Linked DNA regions of Schizosaccharomyces pombe. The protein of the gene in region 2 purifies or fractionates together with the protein of the main gene of each other region. This does not show direct contact. Each region holds a gene or a part of one and is shown on either strand. Other genes may lie near its edges. The genes, in order: rpn501 and arc3.

The links.
Region 1: the proteins of arc3 (region 2) and rpn501 purify together in Schizosaccharomyces pombe (affinity purification with western blotting; one study listed by BioGRID). This does not show direct contact.

What each region holds. Positions count from the first base shown.
Region 1 is NC_003424.3:1,264,540-1,268,385, reverse strand, and holds rpn501 (19S proteasome regulatory subunit Rpn501), read right to left. Parts: upstream 2,118-3,846; coding exon 2,034-2,117; intron 1,987-2,033; coding exon 739-1,986; 3' UTR 606-738; downstream 1-605. Other genes in the region: rsm22-cox11 tandem protein cox1101, read left to right, coding at 1-481; chaperonin-containing T-complex epsilon subunit Cct5, read left to right, coding at 2,844-3,846. UniProt on the Schizosaccharomyces pombe protein: Acts as a regulatory subunit of the 26S proteasome which is involved in the ATP-dependent degradation of ubiquitinated proteins. Required for proper proteasome assembly.
Region 2 is NC_003423.3:3,110,611-3,114,553, reverse strand, and holds arc3 (ARP2/3 actin-organizing complex subunit Arc21), read left to right. Parts: upstream 1-2,316; 5' UTR 2,317-2,349; coding exon 2,350-2,355; exon of another isoform or gene 2,356-2,401; coding exon 2,402-2,501; exon of another isoform or gene 2,502-2,581; coding exon 2,582-2,857; exon of another isoform or gene 2,858-2,953; coding exon 2,954-3,096; 3' UTR 3,097-3,354; downstream 3,355-3,943. Other genes in the region: pdk1 (serine/threonine protein kinase Ppk21/Pdk1), read left to right, coding at 1-93; SPOM_SPBC1778.09 (GTPase-activating protein), read right to left, coding at 586-1,830; SPOM_SPBC1778.07 (carnosine N-methyltransferase), read right to left, coding at 3,355-3,943. UniProt on the Schizosaccharomyces pombe protein: Functions as a component of the Arp2/3 complex which is involved in regulation of actin polymerization and together with an activating nucleation-promoting factor (NPF) mediates the formation of branched actin networks.

The DNA.
Region 1 (3,846 bases), on a different chromosome or scaffold from region 2:
TTTCTGTTCGAAAACAGGTTATGGTGGCACTCTTAATACCGACCAAAGTCGTATGAATGCAGAAAGAATGGTTCCTCGTAAAGACAATAAAAGAATCAGAGTTACTTTCAATGGCGACGTTGCAGGAAACCTTAGCTGGAAGCTTTGGCCCCAGCAGCGTGAAATATATGTTCTTCCAGGCGAGACTGCTCTAGGGTTTTATACTGCTGAAAATACGTCCGACCATGACATAGTAGGAGTTGCAACTTATAATATAGTACCAGGTCAAGCCGCTGTTTACTTCTCAAAGGTTGCATGCTTTTGCTTTGAAGAGCAAAAGCTAGATGCTCATGAAAAAGTAGACTTGCCTGTGTTTTTCTTTATAGATCCAGAATTTGCTGATGATCCAAATATGAAGGATATTGACGATATTCTTCTAAGCTATACTTTTTTTGAGGCCAGATATGATACCAATGGCAATCTTTTAACTAAACTCAACTGAAATAAAAATTAAGGGACTACATATTGAGTGAACTACAATAATTTATTTAAAATAATTCATCAAGTTAACCTTCTAGTTACGAGACAAATAACAACGAAAATCACTACAAACTTACTAGAATAACTTTCTCCGAGGTTGCAATTCGACATTAAAACTATTGTATTCTCGTAAAAAAAGTTGAAGGCCTTTGAACCAATAGTATATTATTTAAATGACAAAGTCATGAAAGTAACGAAATGAAATAGAGACGGAACAATTTATTTGGCTACCGCCTGTTGAATAGAATTCATCATTTCTTCTTTTATAATAAGCTGTCTTACCTTTTCCAATTTTCCAAGAAGTTCAGTAATATTGGAACCCCACTCATTCAATTGCTCTTGCACATTTTGAGATTTCTTGAATGAAATGACTTGAGCTGGGCGATCAATCTTGGCATAGAAATGATGCTTTGCAATAAGATCGCAAAGAAATTGTTCTGTTTCGGAAGGACTCATATCCAACAACACTCCTAGACGACTGCAATGAATGCGGGAATAATAGTTTGCGACTACACGAATATTGTGTTCGATGACTCGCTTACGAAGTTCAGACCAACGTTTCTCACCTTTTTCATCATTTTCAGCAAAAACAGGATTACTCCTTAAAGCACTTCCATAGATTTCGGCAATTTTGGGCCATCTCATTAGTTCATTGACAATAAAGCACTTAACCAATTGTTGGAGTAAAGGAAGAGAATTTAGTTTATGGTCAGCATTAATTCGGTGAAGAAGATCTGCCTGCTCGTTATCATAAGGAGTAAGCAAGGCAAAGCAAACGACATTTTCTAATATTTCTTTCCATTTCTCGGGGTCCTCTTGAACCACGGCGGTGTCATAAACTGCTCGATAATATTTACAAACATCAAGATATGCATCGTCGTGCAAACCAATTCGGATTTTTTGCTCATAATACTTAAGTTTTAAAGACTGGACGTCTTCCTTTTCAAAAAACTTAACATTTATTTTCTTCGTGTAAGTAGATGCCATGTAGTAATCAGACCTCAGTAAGAATAATCTAACTTGATCCAAAATGAATGCAACTTTTTCCTTCAAATCAAAAGATCCGTAAGTCTCTACTGGTTCATTACACAAGATCTCCTGGGCAGATTTGATGTCACCTTGCTCTTCTTTAATCTGGGAAAGCAGTTGTGTAAGACGTGCCCTTTCTACTTCCACATATATCTTTCCATCAGTAATAGTACGCAATGTTTCAATCAAATTAATTTTTGTTTTTAAATCGTCAATTCCAGGAAGATAGGTCATTACATGTTGGACTAAACTTGTCATCGATTGTTTCAGTTGGCCATGCTTTTTAAAGAGACTAACCAACTGTTCGTTTAAGCCTTGGAAATCACCAGCTCGAAAGAGCAAATCAGCAATGTATATTAATACTTTCGTATTCGTGCTGGTGTCAGAAGCCTGACGAACTTGCTTCTCAAAAATCAAAAGCTTCTCGAGGTTCGCATCCTACAATTACAAGTTAGAGATTAGTCAAAATTTTGATTTTTACGTACGATGTCTATGGTATTAAGGTTATTTAAACTTTTTTGTAACTCTGCAAACTTCTCTGAGTAATCAACTTCCGGTTTCTGTTCCATTTCGATATGTGGGTTGTTGGAGAGTGTACAATTGAGACTAATATTGCGAGTTGATTTCTTATGATTACAGAGTTGTAACGCACGCTCGCAAAATACTTTAGTTGTCAGCAATAGTACACTACGCTATGATACACTACGTTGCGTATCACTATATGTCATATGTTGGAATACTAGCTAAGATCCGTTTATTGATAATCACGGGTAACTATCCGTCTATATACATAGATACCCGTTGATAACAACTATTTAGAAATATTATAAATAGCGTTACAACTGAACCTCGTTCCTCAGTTCAGTTATGAGCTATATTAGTGATAGGTAACATTATAACTCAGTTAATACAATACCTATACTCAGTTGCTACTTATACAACCTGTGTATTGTAATATAATAGACCACAAGGAAAACTCACCGCAGTTCTACGTATCCTTAAATCAGATACCAAACTGCGTAGCTTACATTAGTGAAATATAGTGCTTATTTCTTCTATAGAAGTTCGTAAAATGCTGAAGGGCCGCAACATATTAGACGTGCTTTCAACGACATTCTAAAGAATACACCCTAAGCTTGAACCTCAAGTTATTTCAACGATTTAAAGGGAAGTAAGAGATAAGGTTCTTTGTGAAATCGTTCAAAAGTATTTCAAGGATTTGGGTTAGTGTAGCGTTCAGTTTTATCACTTGAAATTCATTTGCATCGACAGTTCACAATAACAAGATGAGCAAAATGGCCGGTCTAGATAACGCTGTTATGGTCCGTGACGATCAAGGAAATCCTTTCATTTTAGTACGTGACCAGGAAAAGAAGAGAAGATTGCATGGAATTGATGCTGTAAAAAGTCACATATTAGCTACCAAAACAGTTGCTAATATTGTGCGTACTTCTTTGGGTCCCCGTGGACTGGATAAAATTTTAATCTCTCCAGATGGAGAGATTACGGTTACCAATGACGGTGCTACAATCCTCGACCAAATGGAGGTTGAACATCAAATTGCAAAGCTGTTAGTTCAGTTGTCTAAATCTCAAGATGATGAAATTGGGGATGGAACTACTGGTGTTGTTGTACTAGCAGGTGCATTACTGGAGCAGGCCGAGGCACTTATAGACAAAGGTATACATCCTATAAGGATTGCAGATGGTTACGAAAAGGCATGCCAGGTGGCTGTTAAACATTTAGATGCTATTTCAGATGTTGTCGACTTTAGTCCCGAAAACACTACTAATTTATTTCGTTCTGCTAAGACTAGTTTGGGTAGTAAAGTGGTTTCCAAAGCTCATGATCACTTTGCAAACATTGCTGTGGACGCGGTCCTTTCTGTTGCTGATTTGCAGAGAAAAGATGTTGATTTTGAACTCATTAAAGTAGATGGCAAGGTTGGTGGTTCAGTGGATGATACAAAGCTTGTAAAGGGTGTTGTGGTGGACAAAGACATGTCGCATCCACAAATGCCTCATCGTATTGAAAATGCAAAGATTGCTATTTTAACCTGCCCTTTTGAACCACCAAAGCCAAAAACTAAGCATAAGTTGGACATAACATCAGTGAGTGAATTTGAAGCCCTTCAAGCTTATGAGAAGGAAAAATTTCAGGAAATGATTAAGCATGTAAAGGACGCAGGAGCTAACCTTGTTATATGTCAATGGGGTTTTGATGATGAAGCAAACCATCTACTTCTTCAAAATAATTTACCGGCTGTACGTTGGGTGGGAGGTCCCGAAATCGAATTGA
Region 2 (3,943 bases):
TATAAAGACAAAATCCTTAAGTTTGCTGATGTTGCGTCTTCTCATCAATCTCGTTCTTCAGAAGAGAATGTAGAAGAGAACGAGGAAGAGTAACCCCATACCTTGTTTTATTTGATTTTTCAACCCATTTACTACCTTCTTTATATTTTATTATTTGTCGTCAGTGTTTTGGTAATATTTAACTATTTAAGCTATACATAATTAGAAATTACGACGCACCTAGGAAGTCGCAAGATGGAGAGGTATTATGTATACATATATATGTATAGTATTTATAATATATATACTTGAATTAATTTTATGTTAAAATTCCATTTCTTTTGGTGAGATGTTAAAATTATAATATTAGTAAGAAGAGAGAGTTAGATAGGATCGATTTAAAGCGCATACTCTTGATACCAATAAAAGTTTTGTGGTATCAAGGAAATAATGTTTATCAACGTTCCAAATTAAAACAGAAAAAGAAAATGATAAATGTTCAGGACCCATTATGCTAAGCTCTGTGATATCAATCCTCATCTTGTTGACATATGTTACATCATGTGGGCCACAATTAATAAAGCTATTAAAAAAGAGTTAGAAATATCAGTTTCTCTTACTTTTAGAAGAATTTTCAGAAGGCATTTTTTCCCAAAATAATTGAATTCTAGCAAGCAGGGCGTTATCGTTTTGAATGGGAATAACACCTGACAGAGCTTGCATTACTACTTCAAAGTCTGCATCAATTAGCGTGTCCCACATTCCTTGTATAACCGCAAGAGAAGTGGCTTGCAATAACCTGACAGTTTGACCTTTGCTTCCACCTAATAAAAACAGGAGATCCCATATACGTAATTGAGTATGGAAGGGCACGCATTGATGAAAAACAGTGAGATACCAACGTGTAGCAAAAGCAGATGGTTCTGCTCCAATTTCCGCCAGATGTCTGCCTGATTGTGTAAAACTTAACTCATGCTTAAGCATGTCAAAAGCCTTTAAAAGTGTATCAAACCCGGAAGAAAACAAGTCCCCCATGCCTCTATTTTCCAATAAATTTACCATCATTATAAATGCTTGTTCTTCGGGATAGTAAATGAGCAAGGTCGCAGCAATAGAAGCCATTCCTTGAACGTATCCAACACGAGGTATATAGAGAGCTACAGCATGAAGAACTCTAAATAGTAAACGTTGCCCTCCAATGTAGCGTTTTCGGAATAAGAAATGTGTAGCAGCTGTTCTGGGAACATCTAGGTCAATTTGAACATCATAGTCACAAATCTGCTCGTTCAATTGGTAATACTTGTCAATCAGTTTTTTATCAGGAAGAGAATCCACAAGAAAGGACCACCACGCAATAGATCGCCAACAATCTGGAATCCCCTTAAATGTACGTAAAATTAACTTACGAGTTTTTCGAAAAGAATGGAGCTGATTACCGGAAACGAGGTGTATTGAACACATCGATTTCCATTTTTGAATACGGGAAAGCTCTTTAGCTGATATTTCGTTGCGGTCATGCGACTCGCCGGGAACAACCATGAAGATGCTTTCATCAACGTACTTCAGCATGTCATCATGGCCGATTAATTTATTGCCAAGACGTTTGGCAGGGTTTGGTTTATCTAATGTTGGGTCTTTACTAACTTTATAGAACCCTAAATTATTAACATTAAAGTCTGAGCGATAGTTTCCGTAACGATCCACATTTTCCAATGACTCTTTTGTATCGATTTCTTGAACTTTTCCATTAATAGGTTCTGGTATATTTAAATTATTCTTGTCTTCTTGTAACCTGTACAACGACCGAATTCGTTGCAAATTGGTTGTTCTAGTTGGGGAAGGGTTTTCCATGCTCTTTCAGATATATCCTCAATTCCGTCACTCTGGAGAAAACAGATTACCTACTAAACTGTATTAAAATATCCAACACAGAAAGATTTAACAGGGGGGAATTGTTTCCGATGTAGTAATGTTTACGGTCCCAAAAGACCGTCTATCCCCATATAAGTCAGTACGTTAGATCCCAAAATCAAAATAACCAAACATGAAAATCTTTTTTTGACGTTTTTATAATTTTTCAAGCAATAAATGCATTCGTGCAAATGCTTATGAATTTGGTTCTCGCTACAAATTTATTGGCTCTATGTCATTTCCATTGATGAAAACTAGTTATAAAGTAGAGACCGAGACCCGATCACAAAACAAAAAAACGACACGCTATATTGCTTTACTGTAATTACATAGCTTTTCGCTATTTTGTTTAAAGAAAAGCTAATTTATCACTATTGATGCTTGACGAAATGCTCCCTATCGGCACATTCAGCAGGTGCTCAAGTTATCCAACAACATCATAAGCACTAGACATTAGATATGCCGGTATGTTCTAAAGTTTTGAATTTTTGTTGCTGACATGTTATGAAAGGCCTATCATTCCTCCTTCTTAAGTCTTACGGACGTCCCTACCACGGGAAACATAGCAATGCTGCCGTTGAAAACCAAGTTTCGTGGACCGGCTTATCCTGGTATGTTCCAGATATTTGTCAACTCTGTTTAAAGACTATTCTTAATGTTATTAGAGTACTTTCTAACATTTTTTATACAGCTGATGAGAGTCAAATGGATATTATTGATGAATGCATTGGGCTGTTTCGCGCCAATTGTTTCTTCCGCAATTTTGAGATTAAGGGACCAGCAGACCGTACTTTAATTTATGGAACATTATTTATCAGTGAGTGCTTGGGAAGAGTTAATGGACTCAATTATCGTGATGCTGAACGTCAACTTAATAGTTTAGCGTTGGAGAATTTTTCTATTCCTGGCTCTGCTGGCTTTCCCTTGAATGCATTATATGCTCCTCCCCTTTCTCCTCAAGATGCTGGTAAGATTCACCCAAACTGTGGCATTAGACATATAGATGTTTGTGCCGCTAATAGCTTTCTTGCTTTTTTTTTCATTTGCTAACTATTAAAAAAAGAAATAATGCGTACATATCTTACTCAATTTCGTCAGGAACTTGCTTATCGTCTTTTGTCCCATGTATATGCAACTGAAAAGGATCATCCCAGCAAGTGGTGGACTTGCTTCAGCAAGAGACGTTTTATGAACAAAGCTTTGTGAGTCTATTAATTAATAATTTGGCTCATACTGTATTTCAAAGCCTTTATGTTTTTCCGTTTCCTTTATTTCAAATGCGGCTTATAAAGTTTTTGAAGCGTACGAATGGCTTATTTAATGTAGGCAGTTTTATACGTAGATAGTAGATGCAAAAATAATCGCTTTACTTTCATGTACAAGTTATCAATTAGCTTTGTTAATTATGCTAAAGGAATATTTGAATGATTAAAGTCGTAATATTCAATGTTGGTTCAAAAATTTTTATTGAAATCGTAATTTTGATTTTTGCAAACGGCAGACCCAATAATGAGGATGGTATATCCATTCAAGCATACTTCGTTTGTCCCCCATATAAGTCGTGTCGACCGAATTGTGCTTTAAAACCTCAAATCCCATACTATCCATCACGTAAAACAGCTGCTCGAGAGTCAATTCAACGAAAGGTTGTTGCTGGCTATCACTGTTAGAATTAGAAGTACCTTCTGACTCAAAATGATACAATAAAGGCCCGAGATTTATCCAATAACCTCCATCTACCAAACAGTTTTTAATTGTATCCAAATAGTCCAGTATGTTTTTTGTAGTGTCTATAAAGAAGCAGGTAGCTACTACTTGAAACGAATCACGACTTTCTTCGGTGCCGTATACCTCCAGGAAATCCCCGGCTGCCATTGAAAAGTTTTGTGAATTCCGCAGATATTGAGAGGGAACTGCATCAGGAATATTTAATGAACGCACCTGGTCATCACGCATGACATGGTTCGAAAATGAATGAATATAAGGATACACAAGAAACTGATTTTCCTGCTTTACGCAATTCAGTATGAAATGCGACGTTAAAAGCATAAAA